Linked DNA regions of Drosophila melanogaster. The protein of the gene in region 1 interacts with the protein of each later gene in a pairwise test. Each region holds a gene or a part of one and is shown in the gene's direction. Other genes may lie near its edges.

Region 1 (4,819 bases):
CATTTACTCAAGTAAGATTGCAAACCTCTATAGTTTTCAATGCTCTGCAGTTTAATGCGATGATCATTTAACATCGCTTATAATAACCCTAATGAATCGACTCACTTAGGTATCCAAATTTCGTAGGAAAAGTTCTCAATAAGCTGGCGGAATTTCCTCTGATTGAGGCGAAGATGGATGAGTCGGACAAAGTTCAGGACACCCATAAAGGTGGTGCAACAATTTTCCGTGGTGATAATAATGTCCGAAAGGTTGTTCAGCAAAAAGGCCGTCTGATAGCTGATTGTTATGCCCACAGATGCAATGACGTACCACGCCCACACGATGTAGGCGGTGGCCAATAAGGATTGGCTCCTCCATGGCCTCGATGATTCGGTTAATGGCCAAGAACCATTCAGTTTCAGCCAAACGCACTGAATGGGAAAGCTAAGTGCTTTGTAGGGATACGAATAGAACATGACTATCTGATAAATGCCACAGCACTAGGTACATCTTAAGGCATTTCTTTCATTTATAGCTTACCAACTGCGCCCTAAAATTACCACTTTTTTAATCATTTACCCTAATTGCACAGTAAATATTTTAGAAAGCGTTTGCACACAAGGCATATACTTACCACCTCATTAAGTGCCGAATATGAAATTTTGATCAAACGCATTTTCCAAGGAGGTGTGTGCCTGTGAAATCCATTAAACTATACTACTTGTGTGTATTTTAATTTTGCTTTATTTTGAAGAACAAAGTGCGTTTTGCTCTCGAAAAATAAACAGGTAAACAGGTGCACATATTTCAATTTTGTTTTCAATTTAATATATTCAAATTAAAAAGCAAAACTAAAAGTATAAACATGCAACCTGCGCCTGAAATCCGTAACACTTTTAGATATATATATATTTTTTTTTCAATTTCTTATACATATTATTTCATTGTAATTTTCCATGATTTTCCATTTATGTATGTTGGCTAACAATGCGGTCTGTATTTATTTTTAGGCTTTCATTCGCCCAAACTTCATTTCGAAACCAGTTAATTTAAATCAGGTCACTGCTAGCTGGGCGTAAGAAGGATATAGCTTCATTCAATTAGACGACGGGGGCGTGGCCAATCTGTGGCGTGGAACAGTGTGGACCCAGTTCTCTGTCCATTGTTCTGGCCAAGATCTCGACGGCCAGATAGACAGGCAGCCAGACAGAGATACAGAGAGACAGACAGACACGGCTAGATGGAAACGTATGTAGAGGCGTAGGTGTATACTACACTTCCTTTTACAATTACGCACCTTTGCACGAATACAATATACCCTTTTGCTCCACATAACGGACATAAACAGACGTACCCGGATTGTAAGACTCGTTGGGGCCAAGGAGTGGATTTTTTTTTTACCGACTTTCGGCGAGAGAGCCAGCGGCTGAGTGCCGAACACCAACCAACATCCATCCGAGGACCAAAAGGATGTGGCCCACACAGCCCGAGAGAGCCAAGATGCTGAATTGTGACGTGACAATAGAAGCGGAGAGCGAGAGATGTGGCCACTCGGCTGGGCTTGGTTTGAGATATATTGGTATGGGATGGGATGGCCGGGATTGGGAATCTCCCAGTTGAGATTCCGGTGCTCTGCGACTGCGTCGTATTTGGCTGACTGAAGAATGGCTGGTCGACTGGGTTGGCTGCCTGGTTTGCCTCCGGTTGGAGGCAATCGTTTTTCGCCTGGCCAAAATCCTGCAGACGTGTTCGAGAGCTTTAGAACGTTGTTTGCAATTGCGGAAAGCGGTTAGCGAGGCACGAGACACGGCGATAGTTTTTAATAGAAGAAGCAGCAGCAGCAATAAAAAAATAAAATAAATTAATACAAAAAACACAAAAAACATACAAAAACCAAAAAAAAAAAAAAACAAACAAACAAACAAAACGAAATACGAAAGCAGCAGAAAAGAGTGCAGATGCAGGAAATAGCCGTATAGTTCGCAGCCAGCGGAGCAATAGTTTATTGAGGAATAATCCCCGAGTCGGCGCCCAAAAAGATCCAACAAATACCCCAGAAACACAACTGAACAACCAGCCCAGGCAAAAGTATATACATATATATATATATATATATATATATTAACAAAGAAATTCGTTTTCAAATCCCAACACACCGTGAACTTAGAATATATATATATACATACGCGTATATATATATGTATATATATATATATATGGAAAAAAGTAAAAGAAAAGAGGAAAAACGAAATGCCGAACGGGTGGGCAAAATGTGAAAACCCAACAAATAACTACTCAGAATCAAATGTTTGATATAGTAACGTAACGAAACGCAACGCAACGCAGCTCTAAAATCGGCTACTAAATCAGCACATTCAAATCAAATATGGAAAATACAAAAATAGAATAAATATATATATATGTCTATATATGTGCACATATATGCGTGTATATGTATATGCTGATGGCGTAAGGATGAAAAGATCATAAAATACATATTTTATGAAAATTTTTTGCATATTTTTTTTACTGTTTGGCCAAAATAACAAACTGAGTGTGTTCATAAAGCAGTACAATGTAAACTTAAAAGCAAACTTAAACGCAAAACGGATAACAAATAATTCATAACTACTCTCCAACTACTGTTTCAATGGATTCTGGTTTTGATTTTTTTCGAATTTCCCGAATTTCCATTGGTGAGTACCGCAATTACGTTTATGTATTTTATATCTATCAAAAATCGCTACACATCCCATGCATATATATATATATATATAGTATATTTCGGTATATGTACATGGCCTCAAGGATTCCAAACTCTGGCAGATGGAACTGAAATAGTTTGGCTAGCTGGATAGTTGGATTGCTTTATGGCCGTAATTATACGGGGGAGGGGAAAATGTATACTTGGTCCAAAACACACACCACATGCCCAACATACTTACTATTATTGCGAATATGGTCCAACTCCCGACTCTCGAGCGGAAATGAGGCGCGGCTGACTGCGCATGACCAATGAATAATAGCGATACAGAAATGCTTTTATCCCACACTTTGTATTCCAATGCATATCTGGATATCCTCTCTCCATCTCGACGTCTCACCGTCTCTCCATCTCGTCATCCCTTCTCTGTCCATGCCGCTCCATTGGCATGCGAAGGAATTTGGAATTTTTTTTTTTTTTTTTTTTTTGGCAAAAGGACTCTGGCAATTCGAAGTGTGTCAGGACATCATCGCCTTTTTCAGCGTCGCTTGCAATGGTGCGCTCCTCCACCAACGCCAACTGAAGACACATTTGTTCACAATTATTTGGGGGTCTGGGCATGCGTTGCCATTGACCCATCTAACCACCCGCAGTTGTGCACGGCAATTCAAATCTCAACGTGCCCCAGTGCTTTCGATTGTTTTTAAACAATTAAATCCACCGCATAATCCCATGCCAGCCAAACGAAACACGTAACCGGATTTGAGATGATGGCAAAGTGATTCCAGGATGATTCCCCCTGCTGAGTCCTTGAGTTTGTGAGTTCTCGTTTAATGGTTGGTTAACTCGTGAGAAATCTGCGCTGGCAGTAAAGTAAACAAGCAGCGGGCAATTTGTTTATCAATCAAAGAAATGGTGTCGGAATTCCGCATTCGCGAGTGTGACAACGCCCAAATGTTTGCTGATCCATAAAGGAGAAGAGCTCCGCGATTAGATCGCCCTACCTACCACCACGCATCCTTCGAAGCTCGAACTTCCCTATCGTTTGGTAGCACATTGACTCCAGATGGACTTATTGGGGGCACAAATCAAAACGCGGCAAAACAATGGGGCAAAGACACAGATTAGGTCAAATAACAATGCTGCTATACACACGAAGAAAAAGGAATGAACTTGTGAGGGAAACTAAAGATGAATGGTTTGAATACAATACAGTTTTCTTTGCATACATTTAACGGACTGAAAAAAATCTTTTAAAACTGGTTATGCTAGGGAAAACATTATTTTTTCATATCCTGTTAACAAACATTTGGTATTTGATTAGTTTCCGGAATCCTTGAATTTTTCTTCGAGTGGCAAACTTATGGCTCTGCACCAGATTAGAAGCCATGACCTACGATTTGATATAATCAATCAAGGCTTGACTTGTTGCCTGTTCAATAAATAGTCAGGATATTCAGAATTCACAACAGTTGAAATCATTTACAAAACGCGGCTTTGTATGAGTAAATCTTTTCTGCGTGTGTAAAACTACAAAATGCTGCCCAATGCTAGTGAGTCAGATACTGCCAAAAAAACTTGTCGGTATCATGGAGTGAGCCAACTTTTTGAGAAACATAATAATGAAAGTTTTGTCAAAACGAATAAATTGGGAAACACTATACGATGGAGCTTCAGCTTTCCGTGCTGTTGTTACTCCATTTGATCGGGAATAGTTTTAATCAAGTTTTAATTGGCAAAGTTGCACAATGAGTGCAATCATTAGTCAGCAGACAAAAAATTGTGTGGCTGGCAAGAGGAATAACTCATTTTATTGGCCCACAGATCCACATCCGCACACATGTCTGCAGTTCCCATCTTTGGAATGCCGTCTAGTCGGAGGCTGCGCATTCGGTCTTTGGAGAGCCAGCCAGCCAGCCAGTCAGCCAGCCAGCCGACGACCACGACTCTCGCGTCCTTAATTTTCATCCCTTTATTTATTTATTTTCCTGTCAGCTGCCGCTGTCTGGTGTGTCTGCCCAAGGTTTCTGTTTCGCATTCTGTTTCTGAATTTGAATCTGAATCTGAGACTGAATCTGAGACTGAATCTGAGACTGATTCTGAGTCCGTTTCGGCCGTGGACGCCCACGACAG
Region 2 (4,426 bases), on another chromosome or scaffold:
GTTTTGAGGAGGACCGGCTGGTGTGCCTGGCCCAAACGTTCGTCAACATGGAGTTCATGGGCTGCAAGTATCCAAGCGCGACGATGCTTTTGGTGGCCGAGTTGTCCAAGGAAATCGCAGCGGATTTCCGTCAGAAACGGGAACAGCGCCTGAAGAGAACATTTGTCTCGGCGTCGGATGCGGCGGAGCAGCGCGCCAAAGGTAGACGACTGAACAATTAGTGGGCCCATAGGCGAGAGAAGATTCTTTTTATCACTAGTAACTATACGAGCCAGAGAGACCAAAGCCTAATGCCTAATTCCAACTACTAGGGCGCCGGGCTCCACCCCTTCCCTCGACGAGCTCCCCAGAGGATAGCTCACACATAAAACGCCAGTGTTTTGGCGGCGGAGATCCAGTCGATCTCTATCAAGATCTGCGTTTCGGTCGGCTCATTGTGTACTTGGCTGGGGGACGAGCCTGCCTGCAAAACTCCTGCAACATTGCGAATGTCAAGTACGAAGAGCGTGTCAGCCGAGATCAGCCATTAAGCGATAATACAAAATACGCCGAATTATTAGTAAATGATGAGGTAATAGCGACAGGACAGGGGGAGAGCCTTAAGGCGGCCAAGAAAGCTGCCTATAAGCAGGCGCATTTGACGATCCAGTCCTATTGCTATAGTATTAAGGTATGAAATTTCTGAAATAATGTATGCCTTATTAAACCCGGTACTACGCTACACAGCTGAATGCCACGCGCGACACCATCAAGGTGGAAAAAAACAAGGACGGCGTCAACATCAAAGTCACCAATGAGTCCGCCGACAGTCCGTGCGATCCCAAATTGGACCCCAGCAACAAGGGATATCGCATGATGCGACTGATGGGCTGGACAGGCGGTGGCTTAGGGCGACTGAAGCAGGGACGTGAAGAGCCCGTATGGTAAGAGTTCGACTTTTAACGTATCACCAAACGAAACTATTTTATTTTATATTTTCAGTTATCTGCTAAAGAACAATCGTAATGGTCTTGGATTAATAAATCCAAAGGGAAATTTCGCTGATTACCGACGGCTTATAGAAAACTATGTGAGATCGGACGATATACGTGACATGCAGTTTGAGCCCACGTTTTCGAAGGAAGAAAGAACCACGCTTCACCAGTAAGCACCGTCATCCCACATCGTAAAAAATAATTGCTTATTATGTTGGCATTTCCCTTTACAGAATCGCCAGACAATTTGGCTTGCGTTCCGCTAGCTATGGGAGTGGAGAGAGCCGGCGCCTTTTGATTACCAAGAAGATCGACTATGGCACAATACTGACTGAGGTCCTGCTTCGGCGGAACCCCAAGTTTTGTGATCGTTACTTTGTGCACGTACCCATGCAGAAGGCGCACCTGTTTCCTGGTCATGTGGCCGACCTGGAGATGAACGATGTATGTGAATAGGCAGGACGAACAAAATCTCAGCTCATAGTACTCTTATAAAAAGATCTTTATTCTTAGTTTTAATATAAAGGATGTAAAATATATGAAAAGTATTTCTGACCGTGTACTTTGTTTACGTTTCGTGCTGAATGGCTGCGAGAAAGAAGAAGCATAGCTGCAATTTTAGTCTCCTGTATGTGCGATTTCAATGCATTTAGAATTTAGCAATGAATAAATGTCCTCGCTGCAACTGCGATGCTACAGGACAGAATCGCCTCGTCACCGACAGCTGTGGACACACCAAGTGTCGTCTCTGCCTGGTGGCGGATGTATCGGATTGCCTGGAATGTCGAGTTGCACGAAGTGTCGATATCCAGGAGACACAGGAAACGCAAGCAAGGACGTCGGCTGATAAGCGAATAATTGTCACAGATAAGGGCTACCACTGTACCGTCTGCAATAAGGATTTTCGCAGCCGGACCCAGCAGTATTACCACCTCACCTGCGGCAACGATCTTCTCAAGAAGTTCAACTGCAAGGAGTGCGGACGCGTGAGTTGCAGCATGTACTTATGCTGTGTGTAGTTTTCATGACTGAGATTTCCTTCCAGAGATTTGCTACCAGTTCACATTTAAAGTACCATCTAATGAGCCATGAGAAACAATCAAAACACTCGTGCAGCGTCTGCCACAAAAGTTTCAAGCAACCAATTGTTCTACAGCGCCACATGCTTACCCACAACCAGGAGAAGCATTTGTGCCCAATCTGCCAGAAGGTTTTCCGCCGCAAGAGCTCTCTTGCCAGCCACCTGGCGATCCACAGCGATCTCGGCCTGCAATTTAAATGCGAGCTCTGCTCTAAGCATTTCCAGAACAAGGCCAATTTGAACCAGCATCTGCGGAAACACGACAAGAACAATATTCGGCACATGTGTAAAGTGTGCCAGAAGTCCTTTCTGCGACAAACCACGCTTCGGCTGCACATGAAGCGCCACTCAAATCGCGAACGTCAGTCCTGTTCCCTGTGCGGCAAAAGCTACAATGATCCGGATGCTCTGGGCCGACATTTAAGACAACACAAGACTGCCGAACGCTACCGCTGTATCCAATGTGACATCACTATCAACCGAAAGGACAACATGCTGCGACATCTGCGATCCATGCACCCTGGTTGTGCGTTTGCCAGTACTGTTGAAATGGTTACACCGAGGTCCAGTGCTCAGGAGGCCACGACGGCGGAAGAAAGACCATCTCAGACTGTAAGATACAACAGTGTGATCCAGAGTGTGGGCAACGTTGAGCCAGTGATGTTGCTGCAATCTACGCCACTGCCATCTCAACTCCCTGAACTGCAGATGGAGAAAGGGAAAGCTGTCCCAGAGCATCTGCCTCTGCCAGATGTAATGCCAGAGGAGAATGTCCAGCTGTATCGCAAGATCATCTTGGATCTGGACAACGAGGAATACTCTAGCGAACCTAGCCCCGATGCCCAAGAACCAGCCATGCAACATCACCAGCCGCGTGTCCCGGGGCAAGGTAGCTCCAAATTTAGCGAGATGCACTGGCGCAAGAATTTCAAATATTGGTACCAAAAAGAAGAAAACACAAAGTGACGATATGATCTCTAATGAGTTGGCCCTTTTTCAAAGGGGTCCTCTAATTTATTAGAGATCAGTCAGGTGCTGCGAACCGAAGCGAACCGCAGCAATCTTGTTGGCCGCTAGCCATATTTCCGCGTGCCGGCGTCACTGCCAAGTTCACCGGCCATCGGAAGCAGCAAGACCGCTTAATTTGCAACTAACAGTATTCAATATGATGGACGAGCAATCGGAACTCGAGACACTGCGTGAAATTTATTACCTAACTGATGATGCGTCGTGCAACTGGCGCAAGTTGCTTGTCCTGGGCGACTGCCTGGACCAACAGCTCAAGCGCAAGCTGCTCTGGATGTGGCCGACATCGGTGGACTTGGACTACTTTAATCAGCTGCTAGCCATGCACGACATCCAGCGAGTTTTGAGCATCGGCTGCGGCAGTGGGCTTTTGGAATGGCTTATGACAGTGTCTGGAGGTCGGAAAGTCCCCATGTTTGGCTTGGAGGTCGATCGCAACTGGTGGCAGAGCAAGTACTCCGTTCGAAGTTTTATACCGCTTAACTATTTAGAGGATGCCAGCCAACTGGATACGGATTTATTGACCAAATGCTGCAGTGACGTTCATCCGTGTGCCTTGCTCTTCTGCTACTTCAACAATCGAGGAGCTTTTCTGGACTATCTAAATGTGTATCAAGGAAAGTGGCTTATATTGATTGGACCATTGCCCGCCCTGGGAATCCACACAGATCCCAATCCCGCCCAGCCCCAACTGCCCATCGACCAGTGGATCCTGCGAGAACGCCTTAACTGGACTGACCACAACATTGTGGCATTCTACGAAAAGATAGCCTAGTCTAGTCTGTAGTATCTCTATAATTGTAGTAATAAACCATTGCCTTACATCCTAATTAGTTCCTGTTCACTTCTATGTGAAACTTGCAGGCGGGTATGCTTTGCACTTCGGCCGTCACGGTGCTGTTAATGCCTAGATTGCTGAGAGCTCCTCGCACCAGCCCGCACGTGAAGGCCACGAACTTGGGCGCGTGCTCCAGCTGCTTGGTGCCCGGCGAGATGCGAGTCAGAAAGCGGAAAGCCTTGTCCTGCACAACGTACATTCCGTGGTTGTTCGTCCTCAGGTTGTCCACTTGCTTCTTGTATATAAGCATCCAGAAGTCGGTGCATATAAACTTCATAGTCTCCAACTCGTCCTTAAAACGCGAAACTTCACGGGTGAGCCGCTCAATCAGGCGGTAGCCGGTGGTGAAGCCTATATACTCCAAAGTGGCCAGGTCGTGCTCCTAATAGGCGGAACCAAATCAAAATCGGTTGTATGACTGATTTTTTTTTGCGTCCCTCGTGTTCCTACCTTATTGCTATCCAGACAATAATTGACTATCTCTGCATGGAGGCAATCGAAAAGGAT
Region 3 (5,418 bases), on another chromosome or scaffold:
ACGGCATTATAAATGATGCCATAGAGGAAAAGTGACAGTCTCTGTCTCTGTGACTCTCCTCCAGTTGAGTCTCTCCAACTGTTGCAAGTTGCAGTTGCAATACTGCTGCTGGGTATCTTACTCGGTGCCTGGGTCTACGGTTTACGGTGTCGTCCTCCGTTTGGCGCCACTGGTCGTCACTGATTATGCCATTTCATAAAGCAAAATTCCGGCAGCGATTGTGCAGGAGTGGCCCCAAAATGCGGCCAAGGATCGCTTGCAACCGATGCAAAAATGCTGATTGCCATTTATAGATTATGTGCATAAATCAGGAAAAAAGCTAGCTATTACTTTGGGGGCTATGAGCCATGGAAAAGTTGCAAAACATTTTGCCAATCATAATTTTATCCATCACTCTTCTCTAACGCTAATTGTCATGGCCGGGGCGTAAATTATTAAATAAGAAAAGCAACCCAAAAACAACACTAAAACTTGCCAGAGATAAAAAAAAAAACAAATTGAAGAAATTCAAAATATTGCAAAAACAAAAAAACCAGAGGAGAAAAATTAAATAAAATGCCTGTACAGATGGGTCGACCCAACAAGAGCGTGAAGCTCATTATGAAGCTTCGTGTCCAAAACGCGGACAGCAATTACAAAAGCAACATAGCCAGTAAAACAATAACAATAACAGTAACAATAATAATAACAACAAGCCAGGCCAAGTCAACTCAAGCCAACACACAACACAACCCAAAACACCGAAAGAAGCTGGCTAACAAAAGGCCGAAAGAGCATGAAGAAATGAAATAAAACCAACACCAGATTCAGTCCCACTCCAGAGCACAAAACAAAGCTTAGCCCCATCCCATCTGATCCCAAACCATACCATACCATACTATACCAACCCATTCCCCAAAACGGCTGGCTAAATGAGAGTGAATCCACATTCATTGAAATTGAAAGTGAATCGTGCCACACGATCCGATCCAGAGTCCAGACTTGGTTACGAGTCCACTGCGATTGGATCCTCTAAATGACCAAAATAACAATTTACACACATTAGCTACATATATATAATAAAGCACATATATATATATATTTATATATAAATAACAGAAATCAGAGATTTTAGGAAAAACCATGTTTCTTTGGCAATCAGTTCGAAGGAGTTGTACTCTACAGCGAATCTATACAAATGTTTTAAATGGGCGAGGGAAAAAAATGCACAAGACATATTTATAAATTAAATATTACAAAATATGACTTGCCTTTAATAATTAAACTATCTAAGCTAAGAGAGGCATTTTCTTTTAATGATAAAAGAACAAAAGGCGTGATAAATTAATAATAAGAGAACAGATATTCTCAGATATTCTTAAATTAAGCAGGAAATCGTTAAAGCTGAGGTTACCGCAAAAAAGGCTTTTATTTTCTTGCCTTGAAAATAATGGACCCTTGAAATAAGCTACATTCCAGCAGCTAAGTGTCTTCAGAAATAAAAACCATAAAAAACTATTTGATGGCCTTGCTGCCTCAAGCTTTATTTTACATACATACACTGCACCTTTCAGGTTCCTTATTTTCCCCATGAAAATAATCCTAGTTGGGCAGAAAAACAGAAAAAAAAAAACAACCAACCACATGCTCGAAAAACCACGAAAAAGAAGTAGTTAATCGAAGGAGGAAAGCCAAAGCCAAGAAACGGTCAGCAGACGTTGCAGTTTCGGTTGGCTTTGCGGTCGCCGTTTGCATCGCAGCCAGGAGCTGCAGCCTCAGTTTCCCCACCAGATCATGACTGGCCAAACTTTGGACTTGGCTTAAACATTTCAATTTCTTCATGGCTACATGCTGCTGCCGCTCTTTGCCAACTGCTCAGCCAACTTGGCCGACTGCTCGGTCGACTGCGGCAGCAGCTGAGGCAGCTGAGGCGGCTAAAGCAGCAGCGGTCTTGATCGTCGTCTTGAATTTTACTTAATTTTTATTTCACGCGCTGCGCTGCTATAAAAGAAACTGCAACAATCGTTGTGGCATGCAGTAAGAGGTTCCGCGTCGAAGCAGCACCACATTGCCAGTAACCAGTAACCAGTAACAGCCAGTAGCACCTAGCCACCTGGAGCAGTGACAAAACCCGAAACGGATATACCCGAAATAAGCCACCCGAAAATGCATTCCAGTTGTGTGGTATGATCTTGTGACCAAACCGACCAAGTGGCCGTGATGGACATCGCTTAATGGTGTGTTCTCCTCCGATCTCGTTCGCAGTTAGTGGTCCTCATGGCCCTGGCTGCCCTGGTGGCCGCTCGTCCAGAGCCGCCTCGTGACTCGTACAGTGCGCCCCCCTCCAGCAGCTACCAGCCAAGTGGACCCAGCGGAGGCTACGGCGCCCCTGCGCCCCAGTACGGACCTCCCCAGCAGGCGCCGGTGATTCACAAGCACGTCTACGTCCATGTACCTCCACCAGAGCCGGAATACCAGGCACCCAGGTGAGTGGCAGGATCAAGGATCCTCTAAGCCAACATAAGTTCCAAAGATCGCGAGTAGAATAGGGTTCCCAATAAACCTATTCTTCAACCAAGTTCCGGAAAAGGATCTATGCATACTCGTTTAAAATTTTTGTCTATACTAGATGATAATTATATCAGACCTAAAAATGGAAAAAATCTTTAAAAATGTTATTTTAGACACATTCAGTTTAATCACAAAAGATACGTATTTAAGAGTTTAAGTAATAGTAAAATTATTTATTTTGCATAGTTTCACAAAATAGAAATCGCACTACACTCCCAACACAGTGAGTGAGTGAACAATCGAGAATTTCTTCTGATAAGCCGTACAATATAAACGTACATCCTGCGGTTTTTTTCATTTCACAACGTAATCAGTTCAAATTATTCACACCCCTTATCCAGCACACTTTTTTTTCGACTTGCGTGATTGTGAGCGGTTACAAACGATCTCGCTTTATTTGTCTTGTTCCACTTAAGATTGGAAAAATATGGGGAAAAAACACATTGTTGTGTTATGAGTATATAATCCAAGGCACTTATGCAGATTCTCTCACAATTCATCGGCGTAAACCAGGCAGTGCCGTCAACTCCCAAAGATAATAACTAGACAAATGTTGCAAGAGACCAGCCGGCAATCATCTAATCCAGCTCAGGGCCCTTTTCCACAGCTGTTGCCACATTTCCAGGGTATTTAGAGGGTCGCTTAAACGGAGGAGGAACATTATTTAATACCCGCGAAAACGAAAGCCATCCAACTTTCCTCTCTTTTCGCTGATACAATGTTTTCTGTCGTCTTCTGTCTGTTTTCAATTGGAGTTGGAAGCGATGTTAATTACCACGAGAGGGGAATGATATGGCTTTGCAGACCGCCAAACCGTGACTAAAACGTTACCTAAGCTCGCCGCAGCACTTGTACTCGTATATATCTCAGTACCATTTCCAAGCAAATTATCAGGCGCAGAGGGACAGGAACTCGATTACCATAGGTAGCTTTATGTAAACCCTCGTCTCGAGGCGGTTGTTGTGACAATCGCTGTCATCGTCACAATAGTCATCATCTTCATCTGATTAGTAAAACTGACAAGCAGCTGCAGTGGGTTCAACGTTGTCGGGAGGTCACCATTTTCGGGAGGTCACCATTTATGGGCATGCCATTTGCATGCACCTCAAAGAGAAACTCCTTTCTCCCGCATCGCGGTATTTGTTCGTTCAACAAGGCAAGGTTATAGGAAGTGTGGAAAGTCATTCCAGCCTGGCCGTGTGTAATTGAAATTTTTTTATTCAGTATGTAAATTTTTACAAGCCGGAAGCAAAAAAAGTTGCGTTATATGAGGATGTGGTGTCTTACTTTACCCATAGAATTCCTAAGAAATTCCTTAAATACAGATATAGCAGAACCTTTATTTAAATACATTTTTAAATATTTTCCCAGGAAACCCCTTTACGTGCCACCTCCGCAGAAGCACTACAAGATCGTCTTCATCAAGGCGCCATCTCCACCAGTACCGACCGCCCCTGTAATACCGCAGTTCCCACAGAACGAAGAGAAGACCCTGGTGTACGTGCTAGTCAAGAAGCCGGAGGAGCAGCCGGAGATCATTATCCCAACGCCAGCTCCCACCCAACCCAGCAAGCCGGAGGTGTACTTCATCCGCTACAAGACCCAGAAGGAGGAGACCGGACCCTATCCCAACAGTGTGGCGCCTCCAGCGCCCGAGTACGGAGCTCCAGCTGCCCCGCCCGCACCCTCTGCTCCCAGCAGCTCGTATGGGGCACCATCCCACTAGGCGATCCAGTCCAACCCGAATACCGATTTGCTTATCTCAACCCAACTCATGGCAAACTGCATATCTTATGTGTATTGTATTATTTTCTGTTTCAAGGACCTTAACGCGTGACAAAGTTTACCAAGCAACGAATCTCCCCCATCCCCTCTCCACACCCAGCTCATAGGATTATTACTCCTATAGATGAGTAATTCTTATCTCTGATGTTGTTTCTACCTGATGTACGAGAAGTATGTTTTCCATCTAGGCTGTTTGTTTCAAATTGTTTGTTTAGTCTTAAGTCTAGGTCTTTAAGCGAACGATGCGTTATACACTCACACAAAACACTCGAAACACTCACTGCGAGCTAGCCTTAGTTATCGATAGAGATATCGATCCTGATACCGATTAACGATATATACGTGGTACATGATTTTCATCACAAACGCATTTTCAAGTAGGCAATTTATTCCAATTTCATATTGCACATTTCGCACACGATTTGTCATTAAATAGAATGTGCGAAGCACTCGAAATGCAACAAAAAAAAATGAAGATTAAAATGATACTCAAGTATATAATGTTAAAAACACAAAACATCAATGGCTAAATAAAAGTTTAACGAATTATCTGTACAAGATGGATTTCTTTTTGTATGTTTCACATTGCAAGTCTTAACATATGTGTACATATATTTATATATATCTGTTTACTATACATTTTCATTTGCCTCGCAAATGTATTTGAAATCAGAAGTACAAGAAGCAACCCACATGCCACCGTTATGTATAGAAACGCAACGCTGATCTACATGTTCGTATAGTGGCTCTCCAGGATTCCATTTCAAAAAAGGTGCTCTCTTTCCGGAGGACACAGATATGAAAACGCCCTTTTCAGCCAGATCACTAATGCCAATCATATAAGTGTTGTCTTTGCTTAGTTGCGAAACGATAGCATTAAAGTCTGCTTCATTTATAATTGAGGCTAGATTACCTCCCATCTTTTGACATGCGCTCAAAGCACTGGTCCAATTTTGTTGGACTATGTCTTCGATGTGCAAATATCTCGATCCGATTCGCTTGAACCTATGTAAAATATTTATTTTCGCAGACATATTCTTCAGCGACGTCGTTATACTAGTCAATGCTTCCTGTAGGTCAGAT
Region 4 (4,290 bases), on another chromosome or scaffold:
TTGTTAACGGTATATACAAATGGAGATATATATATATATATATGTATATATCCCTACCCATCGACACTGTAGATATGTATACGCAGGAGTCACATAATCCCGACGAACACAAACGCACGAACACGACTTTTAGGGGCCCGAAACACAGTTAGCAACTTACTGTATTGTATTATGTATGAATTTTCCCGTGTACCATTACATTTTGTATATTTCTGCCTGCTGATCCCAAAAAGAAAAGGAAACGCATCGAGAATCCCAACAGTCCTTGCACTTCATACAGTTATACACACGAATGCACAAGAATCCTACAACTTTGCAACTTTAGGTTACTGTCAACTATTTAAAAAAAAAAATCAATGCCATTCACTTCTGGTTTCCCCTTTTTCCCTGATTTTCACCAGCACTTATGTTTATGCCTTTATTCACTGAACGTTGCTCGAACCTTTTTGTTGTTTGAAAATTATTGAATTATCATTTATTATATGTATTTCTCTATATACACGCGTTTATTTATTTATACTTATGTATACGCAATGAATTTCTGTTGAACATTAAAAGTTTAGTTTTACTCGTTGTTGCTTTTTTTCGGGGTTTGGTTTTTACTTTTCGCCATCTACTTTGTCTAGTTTATTTTATATATTTTTCGTGTTGTTGTAGTGTAGAAAAAATTAAAAACGCGCCGTTGGTATAAAAATGTTTTTCAGCTAATGCGATTTTAACGTTTTGCATGCGAACCAACAACTATTTTGGCCAAGTGCGCGCTGCCAAAGCAGAAGCTCTCGCTCAGCATCCCAAAAACCGATGGATGCCGATGGACGGATGCTTTCTGAGATACTCTGCGATACGCTCTCTCAGATACTCTTGCTCTCAGGCCTTTCGTACTGCAAGATACATCCGACGGTGGGCGCAAGCGAGATGCAGATACAATCCAAAGACTCCTGCTCATTGTTTTGATGCTGGCGCTTGCGCCATCTCCACTCCGCCGGAATTGCCAGATTCAATCCGGCGGACAGACAGTCACAGCGGCACTTGGCGCGCATTTTGAAACGATTTTCTCAGCATCTGGTTGAGCATCTTCGCTGGCGGGGTAATTAGCCCGCGTTTATGACTTAACTGGAAGCCCGAAATAGAAAACAGGCACAGCCGCAGCCACTCTAATCAGTGATCACGTGAAGCACTCGCGTGTTCCAAGAGCAGGAGGCAGGCGGATGCGGCAGGCCAGGCAGGCGAAACGAGCGGAACGCGCGGGCGGGGTATCGGGTGGCCTGGCAGGCAGACAACGCCGGCGGTCGCTGATAACGAGTGCCGCTCAAAAACTACAGTCTTCAAATAACATCTACAGTAGGCACTCGCTGACACAGAGACCTAGATTTATGGTGCACAAAAAAAAAGGTAAGCCATCATGCATATATGGACCTAAAGAAAACCCGAAATCCATCAAAGAAGCAAATATTATCCTTCAAAACTTCAGTCTAAACAACAAAGTGAACGTTAAATTATACTAATTATGTTCTAGTCAGAAGATTTATTGCCAATTTCAAAGCTGCTTTTTATTCCAGACTTAAATGGTTAGTACTTTCATAACAAATTTGATTCAAAATAGTAGAGACGTATATCTTGTTAAATAAATTGAATTTAATAACAGTTGTATATTTGCCCTAAAGTACCTTTTTAAGGAGGTTCCACTGCGCACTGTTCCGTGTTTTCAAAACAAAACCGCAGTGAACCCAAGGCAGCGATACTCTTTTCCATATCAACCGGCGATCAGGTCGATGGCGGCAAAGGCATTATGAAATCTTGAACCTCCCAACCGATCGCTATAAATATCGCAGGTCTCGTGCTAACGACTATCAGTGGCGGAGGAAACGTGCTGGGCAGCGTACAGCCAGCTCGTAAACTGAGAAACTCTAAAACTCAGAAGAAAGTATAGAAAAATGAGGCTGCAGCTCTTCTTTTTTCTCGGCCTGAGTGTTCTAGTCAGTGGAGGAGGCAAGTTCTTATATAGGTAGATCTGAGTAAATACTAAATACCAACCCAACTGTACCTGCAGAATCCTCACACGATGCCGAGAGGCGAATGCATCCGGTGTTCTCGCTTATGGGAACCGGATCGAATCCAATCGGAGGAGGTCGATACAAGCGAGCCATGCCCCAGATCGTTTTTGATGCCGTAAGATCAGAGGAGCGGTACGCCGAGTACTGGCAGGGTTTGGCGGCCCAAACACTGGATCAGCAGCTGGAGAGTAAGCTGCGATTGAACACCCAGCTGGCCAGGAATGTGATGCTCTTCATTGGCGACGGCATGTCCATACCGACAATCACGGCGGGTCGCGTTTACTTGGGCGGCGAGGAGAAGCAGTTCGCCTTCGAGCAATTCCCGTATGTGGGTCTCAGCAAGACCTACTGTGCCAATATGCAGGTGGCCGACTCCGCCTGCACCGCCACCGCCTATTTGGGTGGTGTCAAGGCCAACTATGGCACGATCGGAGTAAGTGCAGCGGTGCAGTTCAAGGATTGCCAGGCGCAGGCACAAGCCGCCCACCATGTCTCCTCCATTGCGGCCTGGGCGCAGAAGCAGGGAATGGCCACCGGACTGGTTACCACAACCTCCGTAACACATGCCTCACCAGCTGGAGTGTACGCCCACCTGGCCAACCGGAACTGGGAGAACGACGCCGAAGTGGTGGGAGACAATGGTGACCCCGATCTGTGTCCGGACGCAGCTGCCCAGCTGATAAACAGTCCGGTGGGTCAGAAACTTAATGTGATAATGGGCGGAGGTCGCGAGAATTTCCTGCCCAAAGGCGTGACTGATTCCAGTGGAGCGCCTGGTCGCCGTTTGGATGGCCGCAATCTCATCGACGAGTGGAAGAACCAGCACACGAACAGTGCTCAATATGTGGAGAATCGCAGGGAGCTGCTCAACCTATCCAATCACACTTCACGAGTACTGGGCTTGTTTGCCCCCTACCACATGGCCTACCATCTGGATGCTAGTCCAGCAGAGCAACCAACGCTGGAGGAGATGGTCCAGTCGGCCATGGAAATCTTGGAGCGCCAGAGTGCCGGACGCGGTTACTTCCTTTTCGTGGAGGGCGGTCGGATCGATCATGGTCACCACGACACCTTGGCTTTGAGGGCCATCGATGAAACGGCGGAGTTCGACAAAGCGGTGCGATTTGCCAGGAGTCACACGAGTACGGACGACACTTTAATAGTGGTCAGTTCGGATCACTCGCACACCATGTCGCTGGCGGGCTATTCCAGCAGAAAGAACGATATCTTCGGCATCAATGACGGACAGCTGGCGGCGGATGATCTTCCATATGCCACTCTGAGCTATGCCAATGGACCGGGCTATGATAGTAACTACCTCAGGGAAGGCGGCGCTGTGCGGAGGAAAAATCTGAGAGCCATCAATATGAAGAACAAGGACTTCATGTTCCCCAGCACAGTTCCCTTGGAATCGGAAACGCACGGTGGCGATGATGTGGCCGTTTTTGCTAGTGGACCGTATGCCCAGCTTTTCACCGGAGTTTTCGAGCAGCATTTCATACCTCACGCCCTTGGTTACGCCTCTTGCCTCAGTGATCGTAACATGTGCGTGGATGGGGGCGTGGCACGGAGACCACGCTGAAACTTGGCGGGGATCAAAGGTTAAGTGAAGCACAATGAGTCTAAGCGACAAACGTATTATTCTCGTTTAAGAGAGAAGCCACTAGAAGATAAGCAATCGTTTAAGGGGGATACTAAAATAAATAATTGAAATCTAAAAAAAGCATCGATTACTATTTGTGCCAATATTATACGACATTTATTTGCAGATAAGAGTCCGTTCCCGTGGTTATCTTATAATGTCGATTCTTTTTTGCACTTTAGAATTTGATAGCAAAATGTCGATTTTACGCGGGGAGGTTATCGATTGACATGTGTCAACTGCTTAAATTTTGTTTCCTTTTCAGTGTTGGCTAATATCAACATGTGACTGCTTGCATCCGCACTAACTGTGGTTTTTGTCTTTACTAAATCTAACAGCGTACTGTTGCCAACACTAAAATGTTAAATTATTTTAAAACTAACAGACGACTTGGCGCCAAATTTGAAATAAAATTAAAATGTTTTCGAATATAAAAGGGACAGACAACATTAATGACTAGGGTTTTATTGAAATATACATGGGGCTAATTGCTGGACATATCAGATTTAAATTATATTTTAATATGTATAAGTGTATATCATTTTCATTTTGTGCTGTTTTTATTTATCTTTTTACAATTAATGCCTTCTGGCT

The links.
Region 2: the proteins of mmd (region 1) and CG42726 interact in a two-hybrid assay, tested with the Drosophila melanogaster proteins (one large-scale study listed by BioGRID).
Region 3: the proteins of mmd (region 1) and TwdlE interact in a two-hybrid assay, tested with the Drosophila melanogaster proteins (one large-scale study listed by BioGRID).
Region 4: the proteins of mmd (region 1) and phu interact in a two-hybrid assay, tested with the Drosophila melanogaster proteins (one large-scale study listed by BioGRID).

What each region holds. Positions count from the first base shown.
Region 1 is NC_004354.4:15,970,064-15,974,882, reverse strand, and holds the start of mmd (mind-meld), read left to right. Parts: upstream 1-1,815; 5' UTR 1,816-2,678; intron 2,679-4,819. Other genes in the region: Or13a (odorant receptor 13a), read right to left, coding at 106-458.
Region 2 is NT_033777.3:15,346,483-15,350,908, forward strand, and holds CG42726 (uncharacterized protein), read left to right. Parts: upstream 1-1,565; 5' UTR 1,566-1,636; coding exon 1,637-1,960; intron 1,961-2,019; coding exon 2,020-3,021; 3' UTR 3,022-3,220; coding exon of another isoform or gene 3,221-3,856; 3' UTR 3,857-3,909; downstream 3,910-4,426. Other genes in the region: CG31301 (uncharacterized protein), read left to right, coding at 1-201, 312-670, 727-923, 982-1,143, 1,208-1,430; CG42727 (uncharacterized protein), read left to right, coding at 3,221-3,856; Trs33 (TRAPP subunit 33), read right to left, coding at 3,912-4,301, 4,370-4,426.
Region 3 is NT_033779.5:7,857,428-7,862,845, reverse strand, and holds TwdlE (TweedleE), read left to right. Parts: upstream 1-2,006; 5' UTR 2,007-2,145; coding exon 2,146-2,163; intron 2,164-2,244; coding exon 2,245-2,465; intron 2,466-2,725; exon of another isoform or gene 2,726-3,921; coding exon 3,922-4,276; 3' UTR 4,277-4,889; downstream 4,890-5,418.
Region 4 is NT_033777.3:9,492,954-9,497,243, forward strand, and holds phu (phurba tashi), read left to right. Parts: upstream 1-1,847; 5' UTR 1,848-1,934; coding exon 1,935-1,989; intron 1,990-2,050; coding exon 2,051-3,636; 3' UTR 3,637-3,770; downstream 3,771-4,290.